Canis lupus familiaris: one gene and its partners. The protein of the gene in region 1 purifies or fractionates together with the protein of each later gene. This does not show direct contact. Links are inferred from orthologs where the notes say so. Each region holds a gene or a part of one and is shown in the gene's direction. Other genes may lie near its edges.

Evidence for each region. Proteins that work in one complex are often made in the same cells at the same time.
Region 2: the proteins of UBXN7 (region 1) and CUL4B purify together in Homo sapiens (affinity purification with mass spectrometry; 3 studies listed by BioGRID and IntAct, with this or other methods). This does not show direct contact. The link is inferred for Canis lupus familiaris from reciprocal best matches to the Homo sapiens genes UBXN7 and CUL4B.
Region 3: the proteins of UBXN7 (region 1) and UFD1 purify together in Homo sapiens (affinity purification with mass spectrometry; 3 studies listed by BioGRID and IntAct, with this or other methods). This does not show direct contact. The link is inferred for Canis lupus familiaris from reciprocal best matches to the Homo sapiens genes UBXN7 and UFD1.

What each region holds. Positions count from the first base shown.
Region 1 is NC_049254.1:30,189,306-30,192,955, reverse strand, and holds part of UBXN7 (UBX domain-containing protein 7), read left to right. Parts: intron 1-1,431; coding exon 1,432-1,579; intron 1,580-3,650. UniProt on the Homo sapiens protein: Ubiquitin-binding adapter that links a subset of NEDD8-associated cullin ring ligases (CRLs) to the segregase VCP/p97, to regulate turnover of their ubiquitination substrates.
Region 2 is NC_049260.1:93,256,896-93,260,545, reverse strand, and holds part of CUL4B (cullin-4B), read left to right. Parts: intron 1-251; exon of another isoform or gene 252-361; coding exon of another isoform or gene 362-389; intron 390-1,140; coding exon 1,141-1,683; intron 1,684-1,852; exon of another isoform or gene 1,853-1,956; coding exon of another isoform or gene 1,957-1,978; intron 1,979-3,650.
Region 3 is NC_049247.1:29,917,182-29,920,831, forward strand, and holds part of UFD1 (ubiquitin recognition factor in ER-associated degradation protein 1), read left to right. Parts: intron 1-359; coding exon 360-428; intron 429-1,227; coding exon 1,228-1,293; intron 1,294-1,526; coding exon 1,527-1,574; intron 1,575-2,291; coding exon 2,292-2,380; intron 2,381-3,519; coding exon 3,520-3,601; intron 3,602-3,650. UniProt on the Homo sapiens protein: Essential component of the ubiquitin-dependent proteolytic pathway which degrades ubiquitin fusion proteins.

The sequences.
Region 1 (3,650 bases):
GGCTCAGGTCATGATCCCATGAGATTGAGCCTCATATTGGGCTCTGTGTTCAGCATGAAGTCTGCTTGAATATTCTCGCCCTCTGCCCCTTACCCTGCTGCTGCACACACACACAGACTACACTCACTCACTCTCAAAAAAAAAAAAAAAAAAAGTTTTTTGACCATTTGACCATAAGCGCAAATTACTGGGTCAAAAAAAAGGAGTACTTTTTTTTTTTTTTTTTTTTTTTTAAGATTTTACTTATTTATTCGAGAGAGAGAGAGAGGGAGAGGCAGAGACACAGGCAGAGGGAGAAGCAGGCTCCATGCAAGGAGCCTAATTAGGAACTTGATCTCGGGTCTCCAGGATCACACCCTGGGCTGCAGGCGGTGCTAAACCGCTACACCACTGGGGCCGCCCGAAAGGAGTACTTTTTGATACATGTCGTAAAATTGGTTTTGTAAAGGGCTTTACCAATCTACATTGCATCTAACAGACAATACTGGCTTTACAAATGAATAAATATATGTAGCGTCAGTTTTAAATGATGAAGATTGACATCTCCCCACCCCCCCTTTTTTTTTGAGAGAGAGAAGGAGAACTCAAGAGAGTGGGGTTAGGTGGGGGGAGAGGGAGAGAGATAATCTTAAACAGGCTCCACACCCAGCACTGAGCCCAGTGTAGGGCTCAATCCCATGACCCTGAGATCATGACCTGAGCTGAAATCAAGAGTTTGGACACTTAACTGACTGAGCCACCCAAGTGTCCTGAAGACTGATATGTTTTCTTAAGGTTTTATTTATTTATTAGAACATGCACAAGTGGGGGGAGTGGCAGAGGGAGAGGGACTGACTCCCTGCTGAGCAGTGAGCATGATGTGGGGCTCCATCCCAGGACTTGGTATCATGACCTGAGCTGAAGGCAGATGCTTAACCAGCTGAGCCACCCCTGAAGGCACCCCTGAAGACTGACATTTCCTACCAGATTTTGACTTGGTTATGTTTTTGACAAAAATGTCCTATCTCACTTTTCTCCCTTTATTATTAAAAAATGCTTTCTTTTTAATGGAAACAAATGCTAACTGAAATGCATTCTTTCTAACAAAATATTTCTAACTTTCTAGAATGTAATCTTTAATCTTTTTTTTTTCAGTTTATTAACAGATATATGGTTGGTCCATTTAAAGACATGCTTTATTTAGTTTGGTTTTATTATGAAGGACGAGCACTATTTTAATGTTGTCAGTTTCTTTTCTAGCTTTGTATATTTATTAATCAGCTAACATTGTAAAAGTATGCAAACAGGTTTTTAAAAAGAAGCCATTCATCCTAAAAGGAAAAAAGATATTATTCATTTGCTTGGGAATTCTATTTTTTAATATGAACTGAATATAAGATGTCTTTTTTTTTTTTTTTTTTAACTTTTTCCCTGTCTTTTTTGCTATTTCAGGTGCAAGCGAAAGCGTAGGGAAACATATGCTTGAAGCCTGCAACAATAATCTGGAGATGGCAGTTACTATGTTTTTGGATGGTGGAGGAATTGCTGAAGAGCCCAGTACCAGTTCAGCAAGTGTTTCCACAGTCAGACCACACACAGAGTATGAGTTTATTATTTATTGTTAGGAGGTACCCCTTGCTTATATTGAGCAGTTGCATTTTTATCAGTTAGGTTAATTCTCTGATTTTGAAAAAATTAGGAGTTGAAACCATCTGAGAAAGTGTCACATGGACATTTTAATGCTTATATACTGTAAGTTCTGTAGAGCATTGTCATGTCTATTATTTAATGTTCAGAAGAACCCTATGGGATGGCCTTATATCTACATTTTATAAATAAGGAAGCAGAGGCATAGCCATTTTCCCAAACTAGATAGCAGTTACATAGCAGAAGTAGCAACAAAGCCCAATAAAGTTCAGATTTCTCAATTCTGGATTTCCTTTCCTTTCCCTTTCCTTTCCCTTTCCTTTCCCTTTCTTAATTCTGGATTTTCTTACGTTGTCCCAGGAGAGTTTTCAGTTGCCACAAAAATTTTTGAAAAATAATTCTAGTCCTTTATACCTTAATGATAGTTACATACATGTAGTTAATCATTAGAAACATCTTTAGTATATGGAACTGTACTCTGTAGAGAATGATAATAAATGGTGAACAGATTTGGGTGTTTTTGCCCTTTACATTGGATACCAATGAGAATTTGAAATCAATACCTTAGGGACAAAATTCCAAGTCTTTGGAAAATATTAGAGATAAATGCTACTGGAAGGAAAACCATTGATTTTTGAAACAAAATTAAAGAGATCTTTAAATAAGACTTTAATGCTTACAGCCCTTTATAACTCTCAGGGTTTATAACATGAGATACTAAACAAGAGGAATTTTAGGGAATACACTAAAAGACATAGGTATTAAAATTAGAGATAGATTTAAAAAGCCAAAGAACCTTCAAGACATAGTTGCCTCTTTTGTTGATCTAGTTCCAGATTTTAGAGTACTAATTGTTTCCAAATGAAGAATGAACTTTAGAGATTATTATTAATACTTCATAAAGTTTTTTCTTGTCAGTGTTGCCTGTATATTTCAGATGTTGGTGTCCCATTCCCCCCCAACATAGCTCAAATTTTTCATGGAAATCAATATGAAAACATGATTTAGTTTATAGAAACTTGAATAACAGATATTCACAGCTGATTTGGGGGAGCATAACTGTTCTCACTGTTTAAAACATGTTTTCTTAATTGTGTTTAAAAATAATTTTGAGGGACTTCTGGGTGGCTCAGTGGTTGAGTGCCTGCCTTCAGCCTAGGGTGTGATCCTGGAGACCCAGGATTGAGTCCCACGTTGGGAACTGCCTCTCTCTCTGCCTATGTCTCTGCTTCTCTCTCTCTGTGTCGCTTATTAATAAATAAATAAAATCTTAAAAAAATCCAACTTAAAAAAAATAGTTTTGATATAGGGCGCCTAGCTGGCTCAGTCAGTAGAGGATGCAGTCAATGCTTGATCTTAGGGTTGTGAGTTCAAGCCCTATATTAAGTGTGGAGCCTACTTAAAAAAAATTAATTAAAAAGTTTTCTAAATGAATGTCTTTTCCTACTGAATTACATTATAATTTGACTTTTGATAATGACTCCTAATTCCTAAACTATAATTTTTCATTCTTTGCCATTCACTTTTTTCTGATCCATTCTTTCATTTTGTTAGGTAGCTAACAATCTTGGAACAGATACACTCAATCAAGTTTTTCTGTATAGGGACTACTACTTAATCCAACCCCCTAATTGATTTGTTTTCTGAGTTATACACACACACACACACACACACACACACAGACTCTAAGTATAAAATCAGATATAGCAATAATGGATTGATTGATTGATTTTTTTTTAATTTTATTTTTTTATTCATGAGAGACACAGAGAGAGATGCAGAGACACAGGCAGAGGGAGAAGCAGGCTCCATTCAGGGAGCCGATTGATTGATTTTTTTAATGGATTTATTTAGGTTAAAGCTATCTTCTAAGTTCTTAGTTTTCTTTCTTTTTTTTAAGATTTAGTTATTTGAGTACAAGAGAGAAAGAGGTACACAAAGGGGAGAGTGGGGCAGAGAGAGAAGCAGACTCCCCCCACTGACTAGGGAGCCAGATGTGAGGCTCAATCCCTGGACCCTGAGAT
Region 2 (3,650 bases), on another chromosome or scaffold:
TACTCCCCTTGCCTTGCAACCCCTCCTTATTCCTTTATCTCTTTCAAAGTTTCCATTCTCCGCTCCCTAACTTTTTATTCCCTCCCTTCTTCTCTTCCTCCTCCTCCTTTTTCCCAGCTAGCTCACCCCGCCCCTCACCGTCACCACCTTCCCTCCCCTTCAGGCTCCTTCCCGCTGCTTCTCCCGCCACCTTCCCCCCACCCCGCCCGCCTCGCGTTCAGAAAGCTCCAATCAGCAACTCGGGAGGTGTCTCAAAAGCCCGCCCCCTCCTCCCTTTCCACTTCTCTTCCCCCCCTTTCTCCCTCCCCCATCCCCCCCCACTCAAGTCCTGCGGACCTGGGGGCTTCGGGACCTGGGCGCTATGAAAAGTGTCTGCCCAGTCACTTCCGGTAAGGGCGCTGCAGCGCGAAGCTCCCCGCGGGACCGTTAAGGAGGGGGTGGCAGTTACTGGCGGGCCAGGGAAGAAGAGTGCTGCCAGGGAGAGGGAGCGGGAGGGGGGGCAGCGAGAGCGAGAGAAGGAGCACGACCGTCTGGGGCGCCTTAGCCGCCGCTTTCCCGCCGCCTCCCTCCCAGCCAGCTCCCCCGCCCCCCGGGCGCCTGCAGTGCTTCTCTCCACCCCCCACTCCCGGGGACAGACGCCGCCCCTCCCTCGCCGCCGCGTGACCGGAAGTGGCGCCATCTTTAGCCTCTTGTGCTATTGACAATAACAAGCCCTGGTTCTCTCCCCCTCCCCCTTCCCCCTCCCCCCAACCACGGCATCTCCCCTCCCAGAGAGAGGGAGAAAAGGAGGAGGAGCTGCAGCCTCACAGACTCACTGAGTCGCTCCTGCAGAAAGGGGGGAGAGAGACCGAAAAGCAGGGGAGGGGGACGGCACGGCCGTTTACCTGTCTGCCTCCTCATTCGCTCTCCCCCCTCGTTCTGCTCACTCCTGGTGTCAGCCTATCCGCCTTCCCAAACCCTCCCATTCCCCCGGTGTAGCCCCCCCTTCACTTTCCTTCTCGTCCTCTGTGTTTCTCCTCTCTTTCTTCCCTTCCCCCCTCTAGCATTGCCACCTTCTCTCCTACACGCACGCAGGCATATAAACGTAGGTTTTTGATGCTCCTCTGCCTGTTGACCCCGCTATTTTCATGTTTCCAACAGGTTTTTCTTCCCCCAATCCCTCAGCTGCTGCTGCTGCTCAGGAGGTCAGATCTGCCACTGATGGTAATACCAGCACCACTCCGCCCACCTCTGCCAAGAAGAGAAAGTTAAACAGCAGCAGCAGTAGCAGCAGTAACAGTAGTAACGAGAGAGAAGACTTTGATTCCACCTCTTCCTCCTCATCCACTCCTCCTTTACAACCCAGGGATTCGGCATCCCCTTCAACCTCGTCCTTCTGCCTGGGGGTTTCAGTGGCTACTTCCAGCCACGTACCGATACAGAAGAAGCTGCGTTTTGAAGACACCCTGGAGTTTGTAGGGTTTGATGCGAAGATGGCTGAGGAATCCTCCTCCTCTTCCTCCTCATCTTCACCAACTGCTGCAACATCTCAGCAGCAGCAACTTAAAAATAAGAGTATATTAATCTCTTCTGTGGCTTCGGTGCATCACGCAAACGGCCTAGCCAAATCTTCTACCACCACTTCTAGCTTTGCTAACAGCAAGCCTGGGTCTGCTAAGAAGTTAGTGATCAAGAACTTTAAAGGTAACCAAGGCCAAAATCCATAATCACTGACTAAGGATTTGACACTTGAGCGGTCACGTGCTCTATTTATGTTAATATATTAAACAGTATAGAGGTGGCCTAATGTTTTATGCATAATCAATGAGGTGGAGGGAGGTCCTTTTTTGGGTGGAGGGTTCATTTTCCGGGGGTGGTTAGTATTCTTGTGCTGAAGCATACACCGGCGTGTTTCTGTGCAGTATTTGATGTCTGGCTCAGTTTAATCTGTTACTCAGTGTAACATTGCCAGTCGGTATGATTGATCTGGATTATACAGGTGAGAAATTTGTATTCTAAGGAGGTTTATTTGTTTCAGGTGCATAGTGAGCTTTGGCACTGCTGGGATTTTTATTTTTATGCTTCAGTAGGCCACATTCTCTAGTCCCTAGAAATGCAGGTAGCATTGGTGATCTTTTCATGCTCAAAGATGATTTATAGTTAGATTTATAATGTTGGATACTATATTCTTGAAACTCCTTGTGGAAGCAGTTTTGGAGAAAAATATTTATGATCTCTGCATATCTTTCCAAAGATAGGGTTTGGAAGTGAAAAATACTGTATACACAAAAGTAGTAACTCTGTGTACCACTAGTCTAAAGATAGGAACAATTACTACATCTATTTTTTTTTTCACTAAAATGGGCTTTAAAGTACTGACCTGCAGCTTTTAGGAAAATTTGTTCATTTCATGTTTGAGATATGTGATTAAGAGTATTATGAGTGCATTGATGCATGTAAAATCAACAATTTTTAAAAACATAATTGAAATGAATTACTTTTTTTCTGTTGACTGTATTTGTTTTTCTGACTTAAGTTTTTCGACATCCTTAACTGGCAGGTAATAGATGCTAAGATGTTTATTAAATACAAAAGTAAATGAATGAACTGAAGTAGTATTTACCAGATAAGTGTCTTGTGGCTAAATATCAGTATTGAGAAAATTAGATTCTCAGTGCTTGTGTTTTCAACATTAGTGTGGAAATCAGAAATATGCTCTATTTTGTCTAGAGCAGAGGGTTATAGTGTTTATTTTTAACCTTTTTTTCCTATCACTCCTCTCCCATCCCCAGGTTCTTAAGAGTGTTGTAATCTTTCTGATTTAATAGTAGACCTTTCTGAAGTAAATGTGAATTGTAATTGACTAATATGTTCACTGTTCCAAAGTATATCAATTTAACAGTCAAGGATTTTTAAAGAGAGGAGTTATGATCCTAATTTAATTTGCATACTGGTTTCTGAGATTTTGTTTGGGTTTTTTCTTTCCCTCTTAAACTAAAAACATATCCTTAAGGCATTAGGATATTTTAATTTAAAAAATACTCATTGCTGGTCAATGAAGTTTAAAGCCTGGCTTAAGGTAGTCCTGTCCATTCTGAAAATGCTACAGAGGTTCTGGAGTCATTTGGATGTTTTAATTTTTTTAAATTTTACTCTGCTCATGGATGTAGTTTAAATTAAAATCTGAGTTAAGATGTTTCTCTTCATTTGTAGATGGTGCATAAATGTGGGGGTCAAACAGAGTTGGGTTAGAATCTCAGTTTTGCCACTGATTAGCTTTAATGACCTTGGGCAAGCCTTACTAAATGAGTCTTCTAGCCTCAGTAGTTTTCTCCGTTGTAAGATAGAGATAAATAATACCTTCCTTAGAGCATTGTTAGGGAGATTAAGATGTTTGTAAGGTACTGTGTGCACAGTGGATATTCAGTATTTTAAATCTTAGGTGCAAAATTCATGTTGACTGACTTAGGATTTACATGTGATGGAATAAGATCGGGACTGTTTTTATCTGTGATTTTTGAATTTTGATTTTTTAAAGCAATACAGTCAATTGAAAAAAAAACCTCTCACCTTTAATTTTAATAGGTGAGTCAAAATGACTTAAACAGTATTCTGGCATTTCAAATTTTATTCTTTATGCTAAGGCTAAAAAGCAGTAATTACTTTAATAA
Region 3 (3,650 bases), on another chromosome or scaffold:
AATCTTTTTTTAAAAAAATAAAAGGAATAAATTCCTAGAAGTGAACTTCCTGGAATAAAGGTTGTGTTTTTTTTGCAATGTGATACATAGCTACCCTGTGTGATGTTAACCACATAGAGGGAACAGCCTCTGCTGAGTGATGGACAGGCATCAAAGCAGCCTCCCACCCCCCTACCTCCCACAAAGGCAGCCCCCTTGTCACAGCAATATGTGCAGCAGGGGGATGGTGTCACGGCGGTGAACAGTGTGTCTGCAGGAGCTAGGTAGGGAGCTGCAGTAACATGAATGATGACAACCTCCCCCCCCCCCCCCCATGCTGCCACAAAACCATGCTACTGATTTTTGTTGTTTTCCCACAGATCTATGAACTGCGGGTGATGGAGACCAAGCCTGACAAGGCCGTATCCATCATTGAGTGTGACATGAACGTGAGTACCTTCGATGCTTACAGTGCACTTGGGTCACGGGAAGATGGGCAGTTGATGAACCCTGCAGGCCAGTGCCCCATGAGGGTGTCATGCAGCCCCGGGGACTGTTTGGGTGAGAGAGAAGGAAGTTGATGCCAGAACGCCTGCGAGGAGGTTGTTGACCTGGTGACACATCTCCAGCCAAGAGAGGTGGCTGCACTCACCAGCAGCATGGATATTCTGGAAAGTTAAGGAAGCTTATTCAGCTGTATAGGAAGAAACTACTGGTTGGTACATACAACAGCCTGGTGGGTCTCCAGGGAATGCTTCTGAGCAAGAGAGGCCAGTCCCAAAAGGTTATATTCTCTCTGGTTCCATTTGTATTACATCCTTGAAATCGGCGAGGCTTTAGAAATGGAAGACGGGTTGGTGGTTGCCAGGAGTTAGGAGAAGGCCAGGAGAGAGGCACGTGTGGTTATAACAGGACAACTCAGAGAGGTCCCTGGGAGGTTGGAACAGCCTAGTACTTCGACTGAGGGTGGACAATGACCAATACTCATGATAAAATTGGGAGAACTTAACTGGGAAATCTGAATAGGAGGGCCGGATGGTGCAGCTGCTGCTTATCTTGGTGGTGATACTCTGTGATTTTATAAAACGTTACCATTGGGAAAATTGGGCAGAGTATATAGGGGCAGCTTTCTGTTGCATCTTTTAACAACCACATATGACCCTGCCGTTGTCTCAATTAAAAACAAAAGCTAAGGAAGCCTAAGTGTCACCGTATCTCAAAATTATTCTTTTCATCTCGGGACCAAAGGTGGACTTCGATGCCCCACTGGGCTATAAGGAGCCTGAGAGACAAGTCCAGCATGAGGAGTCCGCTGTAAGTTCTGCCCAGCGACCCTCCCCAGCCCCAGCACTGTTTGCCCCCTTCAGTAACGGGGCCTCTGGGAGGGCGTCCTCGGTGGGTCCCAGCAGCCAACTTGAGTTTGGCTTCTGCTGGTGCTGACATGGTCACATGTCCTGCTCCTGGGGAATAGTGTGTCCCAGCTGTTGGGGGTGCAGGGATAGCAGTAGCAATGAGAGGCTCATCACCTGTTTTTGTGCTCCCATCAGGAGGGTGAAGCTGACCACAGCGGCTATGCTGGAGAGCTGGGCTTCCGTGTGAGTACCAGGCCACACGTTTTACTTTCTATGCTCCTGCCGTGCCATCTGGGGACCTCTGCAGAGATTGGACCTTTGGGTTTCTGTGCATGCACATATCTGGCACTCTCAGTTACACAGCCTTTTACATTCACTTTGTCCTGGAATCCTAAAGGCAGGCCCTGATTTTTCTTCTCCTTTTGAAAATTTCTAACCCACCAAGTAGGACACATGTATATGCTTCTCTTCAATTCACTAGATGTGACCCCATTTGCTTTATTGTCTGAGAACATGACCTCCCAGCACCGCGGCCAGCCAGACTCCCTGGGAAGCAGGTAGAGATGGCTAGTGCGCTGGCATCGGGGAGCTGGGAGGCAGCAGAGGAATCATGACTAGAAAGTGGAGCTGAGCTGTGGGGCAGTTGCAACAGAGGCCTTAGCCTGCCCCTGGACCCTGAGCTGGGTGGTCCTGCAGAGGCTGGAGCCAAAACTTTGAATCTGTCCTTTAACTACTGGCTGTCCTTGTAAGGTGGCTGTGCTTGGGCCAGGAGGTTCCTTTCATCTCACATCAGTCCCCTGAGAGGCCGGGTGGAAAGTTCTTGTCTGTCAGGAAGTGAAGGTTTCAGTCCTTAAGGGGTCTGGACTACACCTCCCAGCACACATCCTGGCTGCAGTGTCTGGGCACAGGGCACATGTATGCTCGCTAAGCTCTTGCGCACTCTCCTGCTCGCTCGTCTAGGCCTTCTCCGGCTCCGGGAATAGATTGGACGGGAAGAAGAAAGGTGTAGAGCCCAGCCCCTCCCCAATCAAGCCTGGAGACATTAAAAGGTAGGTCTGCTCTGGCTCTGCTTCCCCTGTGATGCTTTGTCCTCCTCCAGGAAGGCTCTCTGCCAGATTCCTGGGGTGGGACCACCTCACTCGAGCTCTGGAGACGAAGTCTGGACCAGGGAGGCTGGCGTGTGGAATGGATGGCACCCTGCCTGCTCTCCTGGGCCACCAGAGCAGGCATTTCCCGGTGCACGTTGGTGAGGGAAGGATACTGGTGCCCTGCCTCATCCGCCAGGCCTCTCCCACTGCAATCTAGCCTCACTCTGTCCCTCCTCCTCAGCCTCCGCCTGCCCCCAGGTGCTCCCTAATCAGCTTGCCCTCCTGTTTCACATCTTTCTGGTTCCTGTTTAGTAATCTCTTTTTCTATTTTGTGACTTCTGATAATTGATCAAGACCCCATTATGTAGACTTCCCTCAGACAGGAGGCAGGAGCTGCCTTAATGTGTTTTTACCATTTAGGGATCCCTGGGTGGCGCAGTGGCTTAGCGCCTGTCTTTGGCCCAGGGCGCGATCCTGGAGACACGGGATCAAATCCCACGTCGGGCTCCCGGTGCATGGAGCCTGCTTCTCCCTCTGCCTGTGTCTCTGCCGTTCTCTTTCTCTCTCTGTGTGTGACTATCATAAATTAAAAAAAAAAAAAAAAAAAAGTGTTTTTACCATTTGGCTTAGGGACTGTCAGAGGAGGTTTCTTGCTCTGATGACTGTCATGGACGTGGTAGGGATGAGATATGTCACCTGTCTGCTGTGTGTTAGAGCAGAGGGAGAACACTGCAAGTGTGGTTTTTACCCAGACTCTTAAGAGAGTGTAAGGAGTTTAGTGAGAAGGTGGCCCCTACAGGGTCTATGAGGCTACAGGACAGAGATGGTGAGGGCCCCTCAAGCCTCCAGATGGCCTCTCACTGCAGGCCAGGCACTAGGTCAACAGGCCTCTGCTCCAGTTGCCTTCTGGTTACTTCAGGAAGGTTCCTGGGGAGCGCCAGAGGGCTGGCTCGAGGCCAGAGTGGGTACAGCGGTAAACCCCAGAGTGAGTCACCAGGACCACACTTGTCTCTTTGCTTGCCTTTCTCTTGATTGGCAGGAGCAAATTTTAATGTCTTTATCCTGCAACTAACATTCTTCTTTCTTTCTCTCTTTCACAGAGGAATTCCCAACTATGAATTTAAACTTGGTAAGATAACTTTCATCAGAAATTCACGTCCCCTGGTCAAAAAAGTTGAAGAGGTGAGTTTATTTCACTGGTAATGAGAAGTTTTGTTAGTGATGACTGGAA